Linked DNA regions of Arabidopsis thaliana. The protein of the gene in region 2 purifies or fractionates together with the protein of the main gene of each other region. This does not show direct contact. Each region holds a gene or a part of one and is shown on either strand. Other genes may lie near its edges.

Region 1 (4,275 bases), on a different chromosome or scaffold from region 2:
ACCGAACATAGATTACAAGCAACCAGAGTGTCTGGGAATTGGATTCAAGGCATAGAAACAAGGTAGATTGAATAAGAAGAGAGTATAAGGGGAGTTAGGAGTTTACCTAAGCTCAAAATCTGGATTTGTTGTCGTGTCGGAGCAAGAACCCTTGTTTTCGGGCTTGGACTTGTGTGATGGACTCTGGGTTTTGGAGTAAAGCACTAAAGTTTAGCGAAGTTTGGTAGCGACCGCCACGTGAACTCGAATTTAAAATTAATATAGAAAGGCTATTTTCTAAAAAAATCTAATTTATCTTTTTAATAACAAAATAAATTGCCTTTGACCTAAACAAAATTAAACTAAATTGCCAAGAAAATAAACGTATAGTAACGAAAATTAATATTTGCCTCTTGCCCAAATAGACTGAACGTCTTCAATTTTTCATTACTACTTGTTGTTAAGTAACCATTGTTAATTATGCATGTTACGTCCATGATTTACTCTAGCAGAAGAATATACCTTGGATCGGAAGATGATTCTTGTGTATAATTTGTTTGTTTGTACTTTGTATCCATGAATTTGTGGGTCTTATATTTTTTTGGTATAAAGACAGGCATTTTATACATTTTCCCATAGTTTTCTTCGGTTCTTTGGGAATTTCAATGGTCATATTCCAAAAACCAATAAATATCTCTCCTTGTTTCCCTCTTGGCCTGATTAAGGAGCCACTTCTTCTATCAACTGCGTAGTTGACATTTTTTCTGTGAATTATTGGTACCACACATTTCTGCTAGGTGCTCAATTTAAAGTTTCTTCATTTTGTAATTCAAATAATGTACTGAATATCACAGGAAAAGAAATCCATTCCATACTTGAAAAAAAAAATGTAATCTATCTCTATCTTCCGGATCAAATAAGAGTTTTTGATAACAATAAGAGGATCAAATCTCTCTATATTAGTTGAAATCAGAAACAAAGTACATAAAACTTAACTACTTCCATTCATAACCTCCATCGGACTAAGTTGTCTTGAAACTGACGACTTGCAGAGATGCTAATATGGAGACACTTGCTGCAACCTGCAAAAGGTTTCAAATACGTTTGGGTGGAACGTACTGCACCCGTGCTTGTTGGCATATGAACTGCCAGCGGATTTCCGCCACATACATGTGAAAAAGACGAACAGTCAATACGAAAACAGAGCTAAGGATTTGCTTATTAATCCCTTCTTAGGTTTCTAAGAGAAGTAAATATGTTTACCTGCATTTCCTCTGGGAGTGCCTCTGAGACAGCAAGAGTGTAGCAACCAGGAGCAAACTTCCCTGGAAACAAGATATTGCAATGTGTTAGATTTATTTCTCTTCTGTCTGAAACAAAGCTGGCAATATTAGGGAATACAACATCAGGTCATCAAGCCATAAACACACAGCAAATCAGAATGCAGCTACCGCTCAAATGGATGCAGACAACACAGTTAAATTCAGCACTAATATCCCCATTTATAAAGTATAATGGTGAGACAAGAATAACAGGAAACGGAAAGAAGAAGCTACACAGTATAGTAAACTCTAAAAGACAATGAGGATGATCAGGAAACAGAGCTGAAACATACCAATTCTTAACCATCTTGCTGCCCAACTTCTGCGTGGATCCATCATAGAGATTATACTGCAAAAACATTCATTATATCAATACATAATTACATGGACGTGACATCAACAAATGACAAGTATAATCAACACTAGCATCATCTCTGTTACTATTAACTCATTTTAACGTAAAGCAGCAAACTTTATGGTCATATCCACCACAGTGATTTCACAATTTGCAACGACTCATTCAACAAAAAAACGAGAGATTAGCGACCAACAATAAGTCTTCTCAATAAGTATAGACTATACGATTTAATCATAAGTATAGACTAGGTTCAGAAATTTCAATGTAACGACAAGTACGAGAGACAGACTTATGAACAGTGCCATGTAAATTTTCAAAGTAAGGATTCGAATTTAAGCCATACCCATTGAAGTTGGGAGTTGTAACATCGACGATGCGTTCATGATCGTCTTCTATTTTGAAGAAAGGACAGTTCTCGCATCCAGAATCCCTAAACTGTTGGAGAAACCAGATTAGGCAAAAAATATTCGCAAGAGAAGAAACACGCAAATCACAAGTGACAAGAGAATCCAGACCTGATCGTAGGTCTTGACGAGGCGGCATCGAAGACAAGCCCTAAGCTCGTGGCCGAAACTCGTCGGAATCTGGGCAGGCGCTTCTCCCATTGTGATTTGTCTTCAAAATCGAAATGTCTGCGAAGAACGACAACAATGTCTCCGTGTCTAATGTCTATCAATCAGTTCCGTACAAAATAGTATATAAGTACCATTAAGGTGGGCCTCAATATGGGCCCATAATGTGGTCCATAATGCAGGACTATTTCGGGAGGAGGAAACTAATTTTCTCTAAAAAGGGCCTGAAAGTCCAATAAACTAATAATCGCAAACCCATTCATATTCCATACGTTATCTGTATAACTTCGGCAACAAGATGAGTTCAATTTGTTAAAGGGTTTCAATCATTTCTACTCCTAGTGCCGTGCATAGTTTATTACTTTCTTTTCTTCAAAGAACCTTGTTTATTATTGTTCAAGCAAATTCGTGTGTATCGTCTTTGTCGTGTTTGGATAATTTTGCATTACGATTCTACCAACGGAATCACAAACGATACGTCATACGTGGCGGACCAGTCTTTGGAGAAGCTTTTTTCTTTCCGGGTTTTCATATACAAACTTCTGATGATAACATTTTTTTTTCCTACTAGCTCATTTTCTCCTATTTCCGGTCAATTAATGCGGATTTTGCACCACGCATCGGATTATAACATATGTATGATAACACGAGACTAAACGTCTAAAGCCTAAACCAATACATGCAGCTTAAGGACTAAGGTAAACGTCAAACGTGTATCGCCATCAAAAATCTTTTACCATGTCACATATTTTGTCATTCAAAGTTCACCTACCAAATACAATGCATAAAGGTTTTAAAAAGAAACCCTTAATATTTGTTTCTTCCAAGCTTTTAGTTGGATTTCTATATATTATTTGCTTTGACATTTCTTTGGCATCGTATTGATGTATAAAGGCGGCCTATGTTACATAAGATTTGAACACAATCTAAAAACACAAGACAATTCTGCCAAATCACATACCTTCCGCACCAAATATTTGTTTTCAAAGCATTCCTTTCTCTAGTCCGCCTATATATATGATTAAATTACTTGTTGAACACAACCAAATAATCCTCGAAGAATAGCATTACCGATATCATTGAAATTAACTTTTTTCTGTTTTGTTTATCTACAATCATTTCAAAACTAGTTTTCTATAAACGAAAACTTATATTTATTCCGCTTGTTCCGTTTGATCTGCTGATTCGACACCGTTTTAACGTATTTTAAGTAAGTATCAGAAATATTAATGTGAAGATAAAAGAAAATAGAGTAAATGTAAAGGAAAATGCATAAGATTTTGTTGGGACTATATATTAGATCGAGAGTAGCCTGTGATCAGCCACGCCTCTGCCCTTTGCTTCTTCTATTGCCTTCTTTTATAATATTTGTTTTGCCTTTCTTATTGAGTCTCTCTCTCCTTTTCATCTTCTTTAACGCTTCTCTTTTCCAGAACTTGCTCTCTCTCTCTCTTTCTATCATCTCCTCACCGCTTCCTAAATCTCTATAGCGGTCTTCCTTCCCTCCTTTGTTTCCGGGCTGTTCCTTAATCACTATCTCTTTCTCTTTCTTCTGCCATCGCCAAACCTTATCTGGGTTTTGCTTCTTATTTGGTAAGATTGGATTTTTCTCCCTTTTGATTTTGTCCTTCTTAGATCGTGTTAATTGATCTTCATCCCCAAGTGATCCTTCTTCTATTTAAGTTTGATGATGATTTTGACGATTTGTTTTTTTTGTTACTGCTAATCTTATTTGGGGATCCTTCTTGTAGGTGCACTGTGTCAATTTTGTGTGTTTATTGAGTAGTTTTGCTACTGACTAATTTGATTGAAATGATTGTGCGTATCTCGATTCACTGTTTTGTTTTTTTGCTTCGTCGGTGTAACAATTCAGAGGTGATTGTTTCGATTGCATTTAACTTGTCGTTTTGATCAATTGGGTTTGATTCACTTGTCTAATTGTTTTTGATGTTTGAATGCTAATCTCCTTACTATAGTCACTATCTCCTGCTACTAGATCTACATGGGAATTTGTTAATCCATTCTTTATTTCAAGGCTAAAGTT
Region 2 (6,361 bases):
CCTCACTCGAGTTATATGATCCTTTCTACACTTTTTGTTACAATATGAAGAGGAAGACTATTACAAGAATCAAAATCCAAGGGATGGAAGCTTTTAAGGGTCGGAATATTTTTACATTTACTGACCATATAGAAGATGTGAGGCTTATGGAAGCGATTATGGCTACCAAGGCCGGCTGAGAGGGTGTGCAAAGGGTGCTTTTGAATAGGGTCCTATTTTTTAGTCAGATTTCTTTAAGCAATTATAGCCCTATTTTTCAAAAATTATACAAAAGGCCCAAATCTATACATATAGTATAAGAGATAAACTTTTTTTTTAAATGGGTACATGATCCCACTTTTCTCTTAGCCGGTCCGGGCTACATAAGAATTTATAACATCTTGTTTCGTTTCTAAGTTGGGGACCTTATATATATGGCCACTATTTATCCAAAAATACGTATTAAGATAGATATATTTTCTCTTCTGATATTTCTTGTAAAGATACATATTAGCTAAAAGTTTGTACAAAAATGTTTTAACATTATACCTAAGATGTTGAAGTTGTATCCCTACTTATGCAAGGAAATGCGCACTTCATCCTAATTCTCAACTTTTGTTTGTGATGGAATACTAAAAGATGCCGACAAACAGATCATGTCAAATATATAAATTTTGTCGACTTTGTGGAAGAACCTTGTTAGGTAAACAACTCATTTGACCGTCTATAAACCATGTCAAATATCTTAACTTTAATTTGATTTCTTTAATATTATGCCCATTTCATACAAATCAGTTAAATATTTGATAATTTAGATGAGAGATCCAGGTTCGCTAAGACTTCATAGGGTTTAAACAAGAACAGGACTAACAATACAAAACTCAGAGGTATTGTGATGGTCACGGAAACATCCATAACATAACAGGTCATAATAGTATAAAGATGATCATTTGTGAGTAAAGAAGCAGAGAACAGCAGAAAATGTCAATTATCCGAAAACAGCAAAAAAAAAAACACAGAGAATGGATCTTGACTTGAGAATTTTTCGCACTCTTTCTTTTGGCCATTTTCACCGCTTAACAAAATCACACACTGCCTTCGCGAACCTGAGAAAAAGATTTTTTTAGATTGGTCTGTTTGGTGTTTTGCCTATAACTTGGTAAAATGATGCTAAAACGCAGGCAGCTTAGTTCTATACCTTGGGAGGAGATTTGGACGGAGACCTCGATCTGGACCTGGACCTGGACTTTGATCTCGACATTGCCCTGAATTGGTAAAAAGCAACATGTCACAATAATCACAGGAGAAATAAAAGAACGAATAAAAGTATCATGATGGTTGAGAGAAAGAACACAAAAGAAGGGCAGAAGACTTGCCTGGGGGGACTCTTCTTCTTGTCGGGCGATGGCGATCTAGATTTTGAAATCGATCTGGAAAGGGATCGCCTTGGTGATTTACTGCAATAAAGATTGGTAAACACACAACTCCATTTTTAGGTATTGAAAATGGGAGATATACAAAGGTTCAGTGATAACAAACGTAGTACCTCAGATCCTTCCTTGGGCTCTTGCTCCTGCTAAGGCTGCGACTGCGGCTATGGCTGCGACCACGGCCTCGGCTACGACTTCGACTTCTGCTTCTGCTTCTGCTTCTGCTTGGGCTTCTGCTTCTTGATCGGGAGCTTTCATATTTCTTAACCTGCATATGAGCAGAAAACACAGACATAAGATGAATACAAACTTGTGAGATCATGATTTTAAATTAGCCTAACCAATTGAGACTACAAAAGTCATAGATGTTTTACGAATGGGAAGATAGAGAATGAAGCATCAAACGAAGTAAAATGTTGAGAGACTTGAGAGATAACTAATATCTGTTAATTATGGTCAAAGAGGGAAAAAAGAAGAGACTGCATAGAGAAATGGTACCCGGATAAAACCTCTAGCCCAGGGGTTTCTGAACTCTGTGTCATCAAGTTTCCTTATCTGAAATCACAACTATTGAACATCAGTAATTATACAAACCATAGCATGCAATACAGTAAGAGAGACGCACAGAGTTCACTTACTGCATACTTCATGTCATCATAATTGGTGTAGTCGACAACACCATAAGTTCCTGATCATATTATTATAAATAGTCATGTTGTGGGAGAAAAACGTAAGTATAATATCCCAAACAAAACTCTGCTCAAAGCTGAAAAAGTAAATATATTGCTAAGTAAGTATGCATCAGAAACTGTAAATTAACGTACCATCACTGTCTCGAGTCACCTCAGCAAAGCACACATCACCAGCTTTCCGCATATGATCCTGAAAAAAATGGATTTTATATGAAAAACAAGACTAGGGAGTAGAAACCAAAATGTTGCAGCAAAACATTAAGTGTCATCAGACCTTCAAATCTTGCCATGAAGCAGATGATGGGAGCCCACGTACAATAACTGCAAAATAGCCATCCAAGAATCAGAAGAAGTGAAGTGAAACCAAATTTTAATAATACCAACTTCTAGCAAGAAACACAAACCTCGGAATTCAGAGTGTCGTGAGACGCCAAACCGAGCTGATCCACCACCACCACCTCCACCACCATAGCCGCTGCCACCACCACCGTAGCCACCACGACGATCACTTGAAGACTGTCCTCGACCACCATGTGCAAGCTCAACCTGCATTCATAATGATTAGAAACTATTGAAAAATAAAAAGAAACATCACAAGGTAATGTAAAACAGCCAGAAAAGTTTAGACTCTGCTGTAAGGATATGTGAAGCATAAGCCCATATTGTCTGCTGAAAAAATAGCAAGGAAGTAACTGATTACCCTCAAGCGACAGCCATCCAAATTATAGCCATCACGGCCCTTGATGGCATCTTCAGCATCCCGAGAATGCTCAAACTACAAACATTCAACAGAGCTTGGTTCAGCGAAATTTAAAGTTGGTTAGGAACATGTAATGTAAGCGAATACACTTACCTCAACAAAGCAATAACATGGAGGCCGAGGTGGAACCTTCAATTCAATATCGACAATGCGGCCATACTGCAAACAAGAGCATTAAATATGAATACAAAAGATGCTCAAGAATCTTCACTGTCTTATAGGGATAACGATTCAAGAGAGGACCCGTAACTGAATCAAACAAATAACCAAAAACTGACCTTGTAAAAGATATCTTCAATCTCATGTTCCCTAATGTCACCGGGCAAGTTACCAACATAGATTGACCGAGAAAATCGCCCACTCATTGTTTGCAAAGGTTAAAAAGGGGAAACTGCACATGAGAATAAAAAGGAAACGAAATAAATAAAGGATCAAAATTTACTGCTATAGACAAAGAACCTCCACTCAAACAGCTTTCGACATAGCCCCAGCATCAAAATGAGACGATGATAAGAAAAGAAAAAGAAAACATGGTAAGACCAAAATATATATGAAGCAAACCAAGTGAGAGCAATCCTGGGTCAGAGCAGTGCTCCACAAGCTCCAAATGCTTATTTGCTCCAATATGCTCCAAAAGCTATTTAAAATATTGAAATATATATATTTCTCCAGATCGTTCCCATGAATCTCCATTAATAATAAAAACAATATCCACATTGATCTCCCCAATCCCTCTCTATATCCCTATGAACCATTGCAATGCTCATGTTCCAAGCTCTTGCCATCTATCATAAAGAAAGCATGTGTCATGACATCATGTAACATAGACTCATGCATCTACCTTGTTCTTCTTCCTTACTCAAACCATTATTCCTTTCAAACATACAACAAAAATTCTACTTTTAACGACTATTTAAAATACAGATCGACCCACAAATCATCGTTACATAGAACCTCTTGGTAAATTATGTTTCTTTTCAATGCAAGTAAAAAAATTTCCTCAGTAAGGACAATGAATAAAAGACAGATTCTAACAAACATAAGACCTTCTGAATTTAATCAAAAATCACCTTAAACAACTCAAGAACATTCGACATAAAAAAGCTAATTGAAGTCAAGGAAACTACCCCCACGACCATAGCGAAGTATATTCACCTCAAGAGAGCCAAAAGACCAACAATTATCAGTGAAATTAACGAAATTGAAACACCAAACCATCGAATTCATAAGAACACGGAAACCAAATTCAGAGAAAACAACAGATAGATAGAGATAGAGAGAGGGAGAGCGATAGAGAGAGAGAGGTGAATGAATCCGTACCGGGGGAAACGCTACAGCGCCGGAGAAGATTTGGTCTGAAGCCAACAATACTCGGAGGAGAGCTTAGTAGATGAGAGAGAGAGGTCGGCCGTGAAAATTCAAACTAGGGTTTCTACTTTATCCATTAGTAGGGGTCGTCCTTAAAACTTTCCTGAAATACCGGAATTACCCTTTAGTTGATTCACTCAGTTCTTTTGTGTTTTTATTTTTCGGTCCCTCTTTAAGTAATCTGTTTGTCAAATAACCTCTAAGTTTTTGTTTTTGGTCAAATAGAACCATTAAGTTAATAACAATATGATTAAAATTATGTAATGCGTAATGGTTACAAAAAGTTTTTGTGAATAGAAACAATTGTTTCTCTTTAATTAGTTTCCAAAATTGAGGTGTAACCTATAACTAACCCAAAAATAAAACATTACATTTTTAACATTCTGTTGCAATTTGCAACCTGGACGAAGATTCATCTACTTCACCTGAAACATAGACACACAGCTTCAAATTGTACGTTCTTTTCCTTCCTATTTTCTTTCTCCTATGGTTTTAGTTTTCTACAGGATCACGAAACTTCTTCTTCCAAAAACTTTAATCGCCTGTTCAGCTGCATCTAGCTCAGTGAATCGTCTCTCTGCTCGGGATGGAAGACTAGACCGGCACTCGCTTGCCCCGGTACTTGTCAAAGAACTACACATCACATAAAAAAAAAGTGTAAAGTAATCGCATTAGCCAACAATTGGCAGACTATGCAACAGAATTACTATTAAAGTTAAGCCAAACTGAGAAAAGGCCTAGCAACTCAAGATCATCAGAAACAAAGAGAGAATTATCAACTGTAATTTGGAAAGGCAAAACTGGGAGTCATTATGAGTTTTGTATGTGTTGTATTCGAGATCTAAGAATTTCATGCAAAGTTTGCTATAGTTGTTTGCAATTGGACACATACCGATCTAATATATGGTTGCTGAATAATCCAACCCAGAACGGGTATCTTCTGAGCAAAGACTGCCAAGGTAGGCCAGAAGCCACTGCAAAAGCAAAACGTTTTTAGTATCAGTTTACATTTCCTCAAGCAATACCAGTAAAGAAGAAGAAAATAGGCAAAAGTACCTGAAGAGTACGAAAAAGCCATAGGTCTCCAACATCATTCCCAAGATAGGCCACCCGATGATAACAAAGAAGAAACCGACGCCAAAAGAGATGGTTCCCTGAGTGGATAACATATAAAGCCAAATGAACACACATAGATGACATTAAGTAGAAATCTGTAAAAATCCAGCAGAGACTGGCCCAAGCTATTGATAATGTAGACAAAGACAGAAACAAACCTTATAATTTTGACGCTTCATGAAGAACTGCATGGTAGACTTGAAGCCAATGGTTAGACTAACCCCCGAGATGAAAAGAATCTGAGAAAATATGAAAAGAAACAAGCTCTCATACTAGTTCTGTACGTGTATGCAATAATAGTGGTCAAAGTATAGAAACAAAGATACATGAGATACTTACATTTCCCATGGCAAGTAATCCCTTATCAAAGACGAAGACTATTCCCAAAAACGAGAAGAATACGCCAAATCCTGTCAGGCCTAACCCGATTTCTGTTTCAAATCACATAAGAAACGTTTAAGTATATCCAAGTACAGCATGAGTAACTTCGTAACCTGGTAATAAGATATACTGAAACTAAATGGGGTTCCGAACAACAACATGACATTGAATGATCTACTAACTCAAGAACGTGATAAGCAAAAGAAGAATTAAGTATAACTAAGTAACAGGTATGTCTTCCAATAGCAGAAAATATTTATAGAACTCACAATGTGAACTTACTTTTCCGGTCATTCATTTCAAAGGACATCATTGTTCCTGTAATCAGCTACTTCTACCTTTTGCTGCCATGGTAAAAACATGTCGAAGTTCAGCAATTAGACCATTGAAAGTTGAAACTACAACATTAGTGTTTACAAAATGTGCCCATGGCTTAGCCATGACTCTGATATACATACATAGCCCATAGAGATTCAATATTCTCGTATCAGTTTTGGTAACCAATCAATATTTGGAAACATAATATCGATTTGACGTCGACTAGACAGATGCTACATACAGAATCAAACGTATAATCCTAACAATACTTGTACAATCAAAAAGAGCCAGAGATAGAGAGAGAGAGAGAGAGGGAG

The links.
Region 1: the proteins of SR34a (region 2) and AT5G08565 fractionate together in Arabidopsis thaliana (co-fractionation; one large-scale study listed by BioGRID). This does not show direct contact.

What each region holds. Positions count from the first base shown.
Region 1 is NC_003076.8:2,773,953-2,778,227, reverse strand, and holds AT5G08565 (Transcription initiation Spt4-like protein), read right to left. Parts: upstream 2,331-4,275; 5' UTR 2,265-2,330; coding exon 2,175-2,264; intron 2,095-2,174; coding exon 2,003-2,094; intron 1,651-2,002; coding exon 1,595-1,650; intron 1,361-1,594; coding exon of another isoform or gene 1,305-1,360; coding exon 1,243-1,304; intron 1,125-1,242; coding exon 1,074-1,124; 3' UTR 754-1,073; downstream 1-753. UniProt on the Arabidopsis thaliana protein: May regulate transcription elongation by RNA polymerase II. May enhance transcriptional pausing at sites proximal to the promoter, which may in turn facilitate the assembly of an elongation competent RNA polymerase II complex.
Region 2 is NC_003074.8:18,329,533-18,335,893, reverse strand, and holds SR34a (SER/ARG-rich protein 34A), read right to left. Parts: upstream 4,386-6,361; 5' UTR 4,182-4,385; exon of another isoform or gene 3,253-4,181; 5' UTR 3,227-3,252; coding exon 3,140-3,226; intron 3,021-3,139; coding exon 2,955-3,020; intron 2,877-2,954; coding exon 2,802-2,876; intron 2,648-2,801; coding exon 2,506-2,647; intron 2,423-2,505; coding exon 2,376-2,422; intron 2,292-2,375; coding exon 2,234-2,291; intron 2,098-2,233; coding exon 2,048-2,097; intron 1,965-2,047; coding exon 1,908-1,964; intron 1,678-1,907; coding exon 1,526-1,677; intron 1,437-1,525; coding exon 1,356-1,436; coding exon of another isoform or gene 1,277-1,355; exon of another isoform or gene 1,245-1,276; coding exon 1,178-1,244; intron 1,086-1,177; coding exon 1,065-1,085; 3' UTR 740-1,064; downstream 1-739. Other genes in the region: AT3G49440 (F-box associated ubiquitination effector family protein), read left to right, coding at 1-179; AT3G49420 (Got1/Sft2-like vescicle transport protein family), read right to left, coding at 4,824-4,862, 5,122-5,203, 5,286-5,383, 5,504-5,584, 5,685-5,776, 6,009-6,039. UniProt on the Arabidopsis thaliana protein: Probably involved in intron recognition and spliceosome assembly.